Linked DNA regions of Cricetulus griseus. The protein of the gene in region 2 purifies or fractionates together with the protein of the main gene of each other region. This does not show direct contact. Links are inferred from orthologs where the notes say so. Each region holds a gene or a part of one and is shown on either strand. Other genes may lie near its edges.

The links. The genes of interacting proteins can lie anywhere in the genome.
Region 1: the proteins of Rack1 (region 2) and Helz purify together in Homo sapiens (affinity purification with mass spectrometry; 3 studies listed by BioGRID and IntAct, counting the BioPlex papers as one, with this or other methods). This does not show direct contact. The link is inferred for Cricetulus griseus from reciprocal best matches to the Homo sapiens genes RACK1 and HELZ.

The regions. Positions count from the first base shown.
Region 1 is NC_048600.1:120,530,173-120,535,253, reverse strand, and holds the start of Helz (probable helicase with zinc finger domain), read right to left. Parts: upstream 3,092-5,081; 5' UTR 3,007-3,091; intron 1,669-3,006; 5' UTR 1,613-1,668; intron 1-1,612. UniProt on the Homo sapiens protein: May act as a helicase that plays a role in RNA metabolism in multiple tissues and organs within the developing embryo.
Region 2 is NC_048600.1:63,461,223-63,465,170, reverse strand, and holds the end of Rack1 (receptor of activated protein C kinase 1), read right to left. Parts: intron 3,906-3,948; coding exon 3,810-3,905; intron 3,494-3,809; coding exon 3,383-3,493; intron 2,948-3,382; coding exon 2,807-2,947; intron 1,931-2,806; coding exon 1,820-1,930; intron 1,364-1,819; coding exon 1,298-1,363; 3' UTR 1,252-1,297; downstream 1-1,251. UniProt on the Homo sapiens protein: Scaffolding protein involved in the recruitment, assembly and/or regulation of a variety of signaling molecules. Interacts with a wide variety of proteins and plays a role in many cellular processes.

The sequences.
Region 1 (5,081 bases), about 57 Mb from region 2:
AAAAGAATCTTGGTCTATGTCCACTTCCCTTTCCCAAGTCCATACTCCTTTTGTTGCATTTCAAAGGCAAACTATCAACTATATGCATCAATCTTGAGGGATTGGGGAACACAGCTTATTCTTTAAAAAAAATAAAAAATGTAATATGAAAAGTTTGTATTTCAAAATCTAGATAGCCAAATATGTTAAGGGGTTAAAATAATAAACAAATCTGCAATAAATCAATTGGCCATAGTTATTATTTTCCTACAACAGTAGCTCTCAACCTTCCTAATGGGGCAACCCTTAATACAGTTCCTCATGTTGTGGCAATCCCAACCATAAAATTATTTCATTGCCCCTGCCCAAAAAAGCTAAGCATCAGTGGCACACACTTTAATCTCAGGACTCAGGAGGCAGAGGCAGGCTGTTCTCTGGAAGGTCAAGGCCAGCCTAGTCTATAGAGTAAGTTCCGGGGCAGACTCCAAAGCCACAGAGAAACCCTGTCTCAAAAACAGTATTATTTCATTGCTACTTCATAGCACTAATTTTGCTACTGTTAGGAACTGTAATGTAAATATCTGACATGTAGGATATCTGTTATGCACCCCACAGGGATCTGCACCCCCACAGGGATCTGGACCCCCACAGGGATCTGCACCCCCACAGGGATCTGGACCCCCACAGGGATCTGGACCCCCACAGGGATCTGGACCCACAGGTTGAGAACTACTGTTCTAAAGCAACCAGAGGTATCTTAATTTGAGAAACTGGTTGAAAACTATAAACAGCAAGCTTATTTCTTCTCCCTGGTACACGGTACAAACTGTTCACTAACATATAAGTCCTTTAAATCCACGTCAGTAAGCCAGGCATGGTAGCATCCCAGCACTTGGGATCAAGGTCAGTAGTAAAGACCGGTCCAGAAAAAAAAAAGTCCATGGGATAAACAATAATTTGAACTTACACACCATATAGAACCAGAAATGATGACAGAGTAGTCACATCCCCAATAAGCAACACAGAATTTAACACTATCATTTCTGTTTCAAAGTTCTATCTGACATTTACTATTCAGTTTTTCAGAAAATAAAAGGGGCTGGGGATGTAGCTCAATCATTCTGCACTTGTCTACTACGTGTAAACACACAGGTCTCGTATATACCAGCACCACAAAACAAAAAAACTAAATTCAAAAATAATAACAGAAGTGATTTGCTTGCTGAAAATTATTATTTCCAATGGAAACAGTCTTTCTTCCCAAAAGTCCCACAAACTGTGGGTGTGTGAACTTTATCTACTCAAGTGCTTATACTCAGTGTGGACATCAAAACAGATAAAAACCAGACCATCCAATTAAAGTTACACAAGGAAATTTGAAGAGGCAAACTATAATTACTCCTGGAGAAGACACTGATCAAGGATAGCCACAAATAACATTTGGCTCTAGACAAGCTCTACTATGTGTGAATAAATTGGAGCCACTAAAAAGGACGGTACAACTTTGCTAACTCTATCCCTGCCTGTATCCCAATTGGCTGACTGATCTGCTTGGAAAGTAGCGGCTGTCTTACCCTTGAGTTGGTGACAATAAAGAGGGAAAACAGGGCATAGTTTTTAACTTCAGTCTCACCTTGCCCATCTCACCAGCACGGTAGTTCATTAGTGATCAATTACTTCATCCAATTCCTGGGGCAAACAGAAAAGCAGAATATCTATACAATACCAGTTGGAGGCATTATCAGTAGCAAACATTTTATCACCCTGAGGTAAAAGAACATGGAGATATCAAGTGGAAAAAGTTAACAAAAATTGTACAGTATGAAGCTTTGGAGGAGGAGGACTGTTTCTTTTACCTAAAATTGAAAATATTTTCTTTCAGTAACAGATTACAAATGTTCTTAAATCTTAAACATAATAAAGTCATCTTTTCAGCACTGATTAATCTTGCTTTCAAAAATAAAAGGGGGAGGAAAAGTAAAGGATGGGGGAAAGGCTATGCATATGAGTGAAGAGGGCAAAACCAAGAACAAACTAGGCCAGATAACGTCTCCCTTCTTCCCCTGCTCCGGGAATCCACTATCTCTGGAGCTACACTTTTGATTATATTAATGGCTTGCCTGAAAAGTGTAGTTTGCAAGGGAGAAAGAATGCCAATTTCTGAGTTCAACAAAAACTTACAAGGTTCCCAACCCAAAAGGAATCTGAAGACTCTGGCTTCCAGCCCTGTCTGAAAGGACCCTCTGCAAAGCCCAGGGGGCACAAGACTCAAATTGTTTGGGGAAGAGAAATCAAAGTTCCCAAGACTGGGCGTCCCAGCCCTTGGAAAGAGGGAGAGAGAGACACACACACAGAGGCAGAGAGAGAGAGAGAGAGAAGCCGGCCTTTGGAGGCCACTTTCTCCAGGAAGAAGAGATAGTGGTTTTGTTTTCGTAGATGTGCTCACGGGCCACGCACGTCCCAGGAGGGGGGCGGGGAGAGGGGGGACCACAGTGAATCATGGGCTCTGGGGCGCCCCCCTGACCCACTTTTCGTAGTGTCCCCTTCCCCGGGGTCGCCGCCCCACCCCAGGTGGAAGTGCTAACCCGGAGGGCTGCACCGCGCGCGGCTTGGGAGGCCGCCCGCTCCCCACCCTAAGCCGCGACCCCGGGGGCGCTGGGCGTGCGGGGACTCCGGGGCGGCCCGTGCCCGAGCACCCTCGCGCGGGCTCCCGGGTCGCCCCGAACCTCGGGCGTGTGCACGGACCCCCGGGTCGCCGCCTGGACGGCTGGCGCCTCAGCCCCCCAGCGGAAGGGAAAGGAGACTGAGGAGGGGAAGGAGCAGTAAACAGCTCCAGCGTCCGGGCCTCGCCTCAGAGAGAGCCCCGCTCCCCAGGCCCTGCCGCCGGCCGTCGGGACCCCCCGCTGTCCCCGGGGCCGCGCTGTCCGGGGCCCGGAGCGCCCGAGGGGAGTCCAGGCCTCTTCCCGGATGGCTCTGGAGGCTCCTGAAGCGACCCGGGCAGCGGAGAACGGGGAAGTCAGGACTTACCTGTCATTACTTTCTACGCCATCTTGGATCCACTTGTCAACGTCCCCACAAAGCATTATGGGTAAGAAAGAGCCTTTAAAGTGACTCCCCCCCTCGGCCCCCGACTCCCGCCTCCTGCCGCCGGCGCCGCCCCCTCCGGCCGCACCTCCCTCCGGAAAGTTGGCCCCAGAGGCCCGCCCGGCCCCCTTCAGCGCCTGCGGGACTTCGCGGGGAACATATCCCCCCCCTCCCCCGAGCGCGCGCCCCGGGATTTCCAACTGTGCCTTTGGGGTGCTCTCTTTTCTCCCTGCCCGGGTCTCCCCCTACCCCCGACTCGAGCTGCTGTCTGCCCCGCCGCGATCCTGCCCTGGCACGCAGACGCCCCACTTCTGCATTCAATCACCGCGGGGTGTCCTGGGCGCGGGTGGCGTGCGAGCCGCTGGCGGATGCATGGATGCATGCAGGGATGCAAAGACGCAAGCATGAGCACGGCTGCGAGCGGTCCCCCAGCTCCGGGTCCTTGCTAACGTTCGCGCTTCCCACCCCGGGGCATCCGCCACGGACGTCGCACCCGCGCGCGGGGACAGTGCCTCTATCCTGGGAAGCCACTCTGGGGCCGCCGGATTCCAGGAACTCCGCGAACGCCGCCTAGTCAACCCGCCGGCGAAGCGCGATTGGGGTTTGGGAAGGTTTAAGCTAAATGCAACTTTTACCCCCAGTCTACTCAGCCTCACGCCGTCTCCCCTCGCTGGGTAATGTGATCCGCGACCCTCTAGGTCGGAGGACCCCTCCCCTAGGAATGTGGCTTTGGGCCCCGTAGGATCTACCGGTTAGAGTCCAAACTGCGGACTGTGACTTCCCCCGGCAGGTAACTCCCAGGAGCCAAGTTGCAGACTCCGGGTGGGGCGTGGATGCGCGCCCGGGCCGGGAGGAAGGCCCCCGGGAAGGTGGGGGCAGTGCCTACGGCGTTCCAACTGTCCTGTTCCCACAGGGCTGCGACCCCAGGCGGCGGGACAAGGTAGAAGGCAGGCGCCACGCTGGCTCCGGGCAGAGAGGAGGGGGATGTCCAGAGTGGCTCGTAGGCGACCAGGGCGCAGGAAGTAGGAGGCGACCATGAGCCCGCTACAGACCTCTGCGAGCATCCCGCAGGCATCTGCTTTCTCGCTGCAAGACAAGCCGCACGCTCTCTACCCCTCCCTTTTGCTTCGGGCGTGCGGACACCTGGCCCAGGTGACTACCCCCACCCCCACCACACACACACACACACACACACACACACACACACACAACACACACACACACACACACGCCTTGCTCCCTGAAGTACCTGCCCCCCAAACACCCAACACACACCTGGCCCAGGTGACTACTCCCACCCCCAACACACACGCACACACACACGCCTTGCTCCCTGAAGTACCTGCTTCTTGCTGCCCTTGTCCTGTCAGAAATGGAGGTCTGTTGATTAACTCCCCACCCCCACTCTGTACGTTCTCTTTCCAAAGCCTCCAGTGTCAGCATTTCTGAGTTTGGGGACTTCTGCCTACCCCGAACAATATTTGGTGTACAAAAGAAAATCCTCCAAGACTCTCCGGGTTGATCTTGTGCTTAGCATTTGCGAGGTTTTACTCCCCAGCGGTTGGAGGGGTGGGGGTATTATTCCCCAGCACACTAAAGCTTGTTAACAAAATGCTGCTAAAAGCCTCTGCGAATTCGAAGAAATTGTGGGCACAGACCTTGGCACGTACACACCCTCTTTTCGGTGCAAGTGGAGGGTCTTGGGTCTGCCTTTTTTTAGCCATCTCCCGATCCCACCAGAAGTGTCTGGAGCCACCTGGGTGGTTGCTGACAACCTCTGGCCCTGGGGAGCCAAAAGCTCCACCAGTCTATTGTCCCAGCCTGAAGAGAAGGGTGAGGTGTAGACTCATTAAAGGATTGGCCCCGGGGTCACTCTTGAGGGAGGGAGCAGGTGAGTCATTCCCAGCGGACTAGGAAGAGGCGGTCAGGGGAGGAACCTCCCCTGAGTCACTACTTTTCAGAGCTTCTGTGAATCTCCAATGGTGTTGGGAACTGGAGCCTAGAGTTCTGGACACCTC
Region 2 (3,948 bases):
CCCTGATAATAAGAACAGCTGCCTGATCTTCCCTCCCTGTCTGCCTAGCTCAGTCCAGCTCTGAGTCCCAGTTTGAGTGCAGGGATGAGTGGAAGTTTTGTTCCTTAACTTCTCTTTTCCACATCTACTCTTCAGTCTTTGTCATTTCTGAGGCTGGAGGGTTCGGGCAAGACCTACCCATTCCAATTCCATGCTTTGGTGCAAGCTCCAGTTAAGGGATTTGGAAGCTTTTGTGGGGAGGCAGGCTGGGCAAAAGGGTAGAGCTGTGTAAAGTCTACTTTTCTTGGGGAAGTAGGAACTCTTAAAGCTTTCCTTCCGCCCCCAATTTCTACCTCCATAGACTGGCCAGAATTTAGCTTCAGTAAGATCTGGAATGGTCAACGTGACACTGCACACCATTATATCACCCAATAAATTATTTTCTCTCTGTCGTACAGTTTTTATTTAGGAGCCCAGCTCCTCACACCTAACCCCTCCAAGTCTTCACTGCCAGGCTCTTTTCCCCTCAGTGAATTTCAGTTTCTGGCCTCTCAGCACCTTGTAGTTCCATTTGGTAAGCCCTGTTAAGGAGCTTGGGACAGGGGTCTGGATCCTTGGGAGAGCCTTGGGTATAATCTATTTTTCTAGTAACCCCTTGCCTTCTGTCACCTAACAGCTTTTGTCCTCTGCTTGTGGCTGAGGTCAATTCATGTTCTTGGGGTAAAAGGTGGGTTGTGTTGCAGATAATAAAGTGTTTATTTGCTGCTGTTGTGGAGTCTTTCTTTTGAAGCAGCAATTTTGCTTCATGAAGTACTTTCCCATAGAAGCCCTGGAACTGCTTCTTAGCTGTCAGGAGCATACAATCAACCCTGAATTTCTGGTTCTTTATGCATTCCTAGGGTTTCCTGTTTCAGTGAGGAATGGGAGGTCCTTATTCATGTAGCTTACTTAGTAAGGACTAAATGTTATACGTAGATCCAAGTAGATGGGGCTAAATTCAAACTGGGCAGAGAAACCCTGCCTTGGAAAAAACTATTCTGCTGCTATTGCTAGAATGAAGTGCAACCAAGAAGGATAGATACACCATTGAGGAAGGCAAACATAGGTGGGCCTGAGTTTAGGACAGACAGTGCCATGTTGAATGTCCCAAAGTTTCCCATCACCCTAATATTCCCTGGCATAGACATGTATGCAAGCAAAACACAACAAATGGGAGAAGGGTGGGTAGGCGGGCAAGTTAGGAACTTGCTCACTAGACAAACCATAACTGAAAAGATTTCAGAAAGCCACTTTATTTCTAAGACTCTGTCATAAACTTTTAGCGGGTGCCAATAGTCACTTGCCACACTCGAACCAGGTTGTCTGTGTAACCGGCAAACAGAGTCTGTAAAAGAGAATGGCAACAGGGTCATGCCCAACAATGAATTGTATGGCCCCCAAACAAAGAACTTGTCTAAGACATGCTCAGCACACATTCCCAGAAGAAACAGCTTGCTATACTTTTGAAGCCTCTTCTAGAGGTCCAAATCATGAATCATTCCCCAGATAGATTATAGTATTTTCTGTAACTAGTCACCCTTTATCATTTCATTTGTTAATATAATAGTCTTTTTGTTTGTTTGTTTTTTTTCGAGACAGGGTTTCTCTATGGCTTTGGAGGCTGTCCTGGAACTAGCTCTGTAGACCAGGCTGGCCTTGAACTCACAGAGATCCTCCTGCCTCTGCCTCACGAGTGCTGGGATTAAAGGTGTGCGCCACCACTGCCCTGCTAATATATTAGTCTTATGCCCGTGATATGAAGAGTAAGCTGGAAGCTGAGTTGGCAGAATCAAGTACTTACCTGGCCATCAGCAGACCATGCCAGGGAGGTACACTGGGGTGGCTCTGCCTTGCTGCTGGTGCTGATAACTTCCTGCTTCAATTCATCTACAATGATCTTGCCCTCCAAATCCTGAAAACAAACCAAAATCAGGTAAGGATGCCCATAACAATTATGCAATGGACTTTTATGGTCTGTAGTATGTTGTCATACCATAGCTTTTTTTTTTTTAAATGGAGACCTTAAGATGGCAAATTAAAGGGCCTTTGCTTGACACCTAAAACAGTTTATTCCTCAAACTATGGAGGAGACAGAATTCCCTGGCTATGGGCCAGTTATCCTGTACCACAGACAGTAATGAACTACTTGGAAAGCCTATTTCTAATTCAGATTTCCAGATTATTTTTTCTTTCAAGGACATATGAAATATCAACCCCCACCCTAGCAACCCACAATCATTTAGAGGGCCAGTGGTTTAGTTATACAATTGGAGCTACTTGGAAGGCTGAGGCAGACTGCCAAGTTCTAGATCTGACCATGTAACTTAGTCAAGATGACTCCTCATAAATGTAAGGTCAGCCTGGGTTACACACTGTCCAAAACATAAAAATACCACATAGAATCCCCAGTCTTTTAGTTGATACTAGTGGCACATGTGGTAGGGATTTGATTTATGCCTCTCATGCATTAGCTAAGTGCTCTACTACCTGCTACACACTACTGGGATTATTTTTGCTTATCTTTCATGGTGTGTGGCTGTAACTGTTAATGGTCATCTAGTGAGTAGATACCACATATGCTGACAAAATAGCCTCTCAAAGGAGAATTACTTTGGCCCAAATGACTCAACAAATTGCCAAATATGGGCATTCCCTTTTATTAGTCAAATGTTGCCCAGTGCTGCTAAGTGTTAAGAAAAAATAATCCCAACTTGTCAACTGACAGCAGCTGAATGATGAATCTACCAATAAAGCTTGAAATCAATGTGGTGCACAACAGATCACTTACCCAAATCTTGATACTGGGGCCTGTGGCAGCACAGAGCCAGTAGCGGTTGGGGCTGAAGCACAAGGCATTGATGATGTCCCCACCATCTAGTGTGTAAAGGTGCTTGCCTTCATTGAGATCCCACAGCATAGCCTGGCCATCCTGGACGGACATAAATGGTGAGTTAGGATAGATAAAGCTAATGGTTGAAGTGTCAGCGTTCATGGTCCTAAGACCTTCCCTGTAATGTATAATACGTATATCAACTTACTTTTATTTATGTATACAGTGTGTTTTGCCTGTGTGTAGCCCTAATCCAGAAGAGGACACTAGATCTTATTAGATGGTCTTGAGCCACCATGTAGTTGTTAGGAATTGAACTCAGGACCTCTGGGAGAACAGTCAGTGCTCTTAATCCCAGAGCCATCTATTCAGCTACCAACTTAGTTTTAAAGGAAAATTTCTTTGGTATGCCTTTCTATATATTTTATGATAATCCTTAGAAACATTCCCACATTTTAAGCTCATCTTTTAACTGGTACATGCTATCAGATGAAAGTGTTCTCCATAAATAAAGATCAGAGGTCCCCTAAATACCTTGCCTCCAGAAGCACAGAGGGATCCATCTGGAGAGACTGTCACTGTGTTCAGATAGCCAGTGTGGCCAATGTGGTTGGTCTTCAGCTTGCAGTTAGCCAAGTTCCATACCTAGGGAAAAAGGTGAGTGACCAGGATTATGGCCACAAGAAAGAATAGCATCTTCCTTAAAGGTAACTCATAACAGGTTTTTATGCAAGCGCATGTAATCCCAATATTTGAGTGGCTGACACAGGCCTATCAGAGATACAGAGTGAGATCTGGCCTCAAAAACAAACTCAATCCCTAATGAACTTAGATAAAGCATCAAGAGCCAAAGCCAAGGTAATTTAATTTGCAAAACATTCCAAACCGGAGTGATTACCATCTCAGAGGAATGGGAACATTTTTAGATTTCTAATGGGGCCAGGCCATTGTTGAAGCTCACCTTGACCAGCTTGTCCCATCCACAGGAGACGATGATAGGGTTGCTACTGTTCGGGGAGAAGCGGACACAAGACACCCATTCTGAATGACTCTCATCCTACAGAAGATGCAAGGTAAGTAAGAGGACTACAGATAACTAC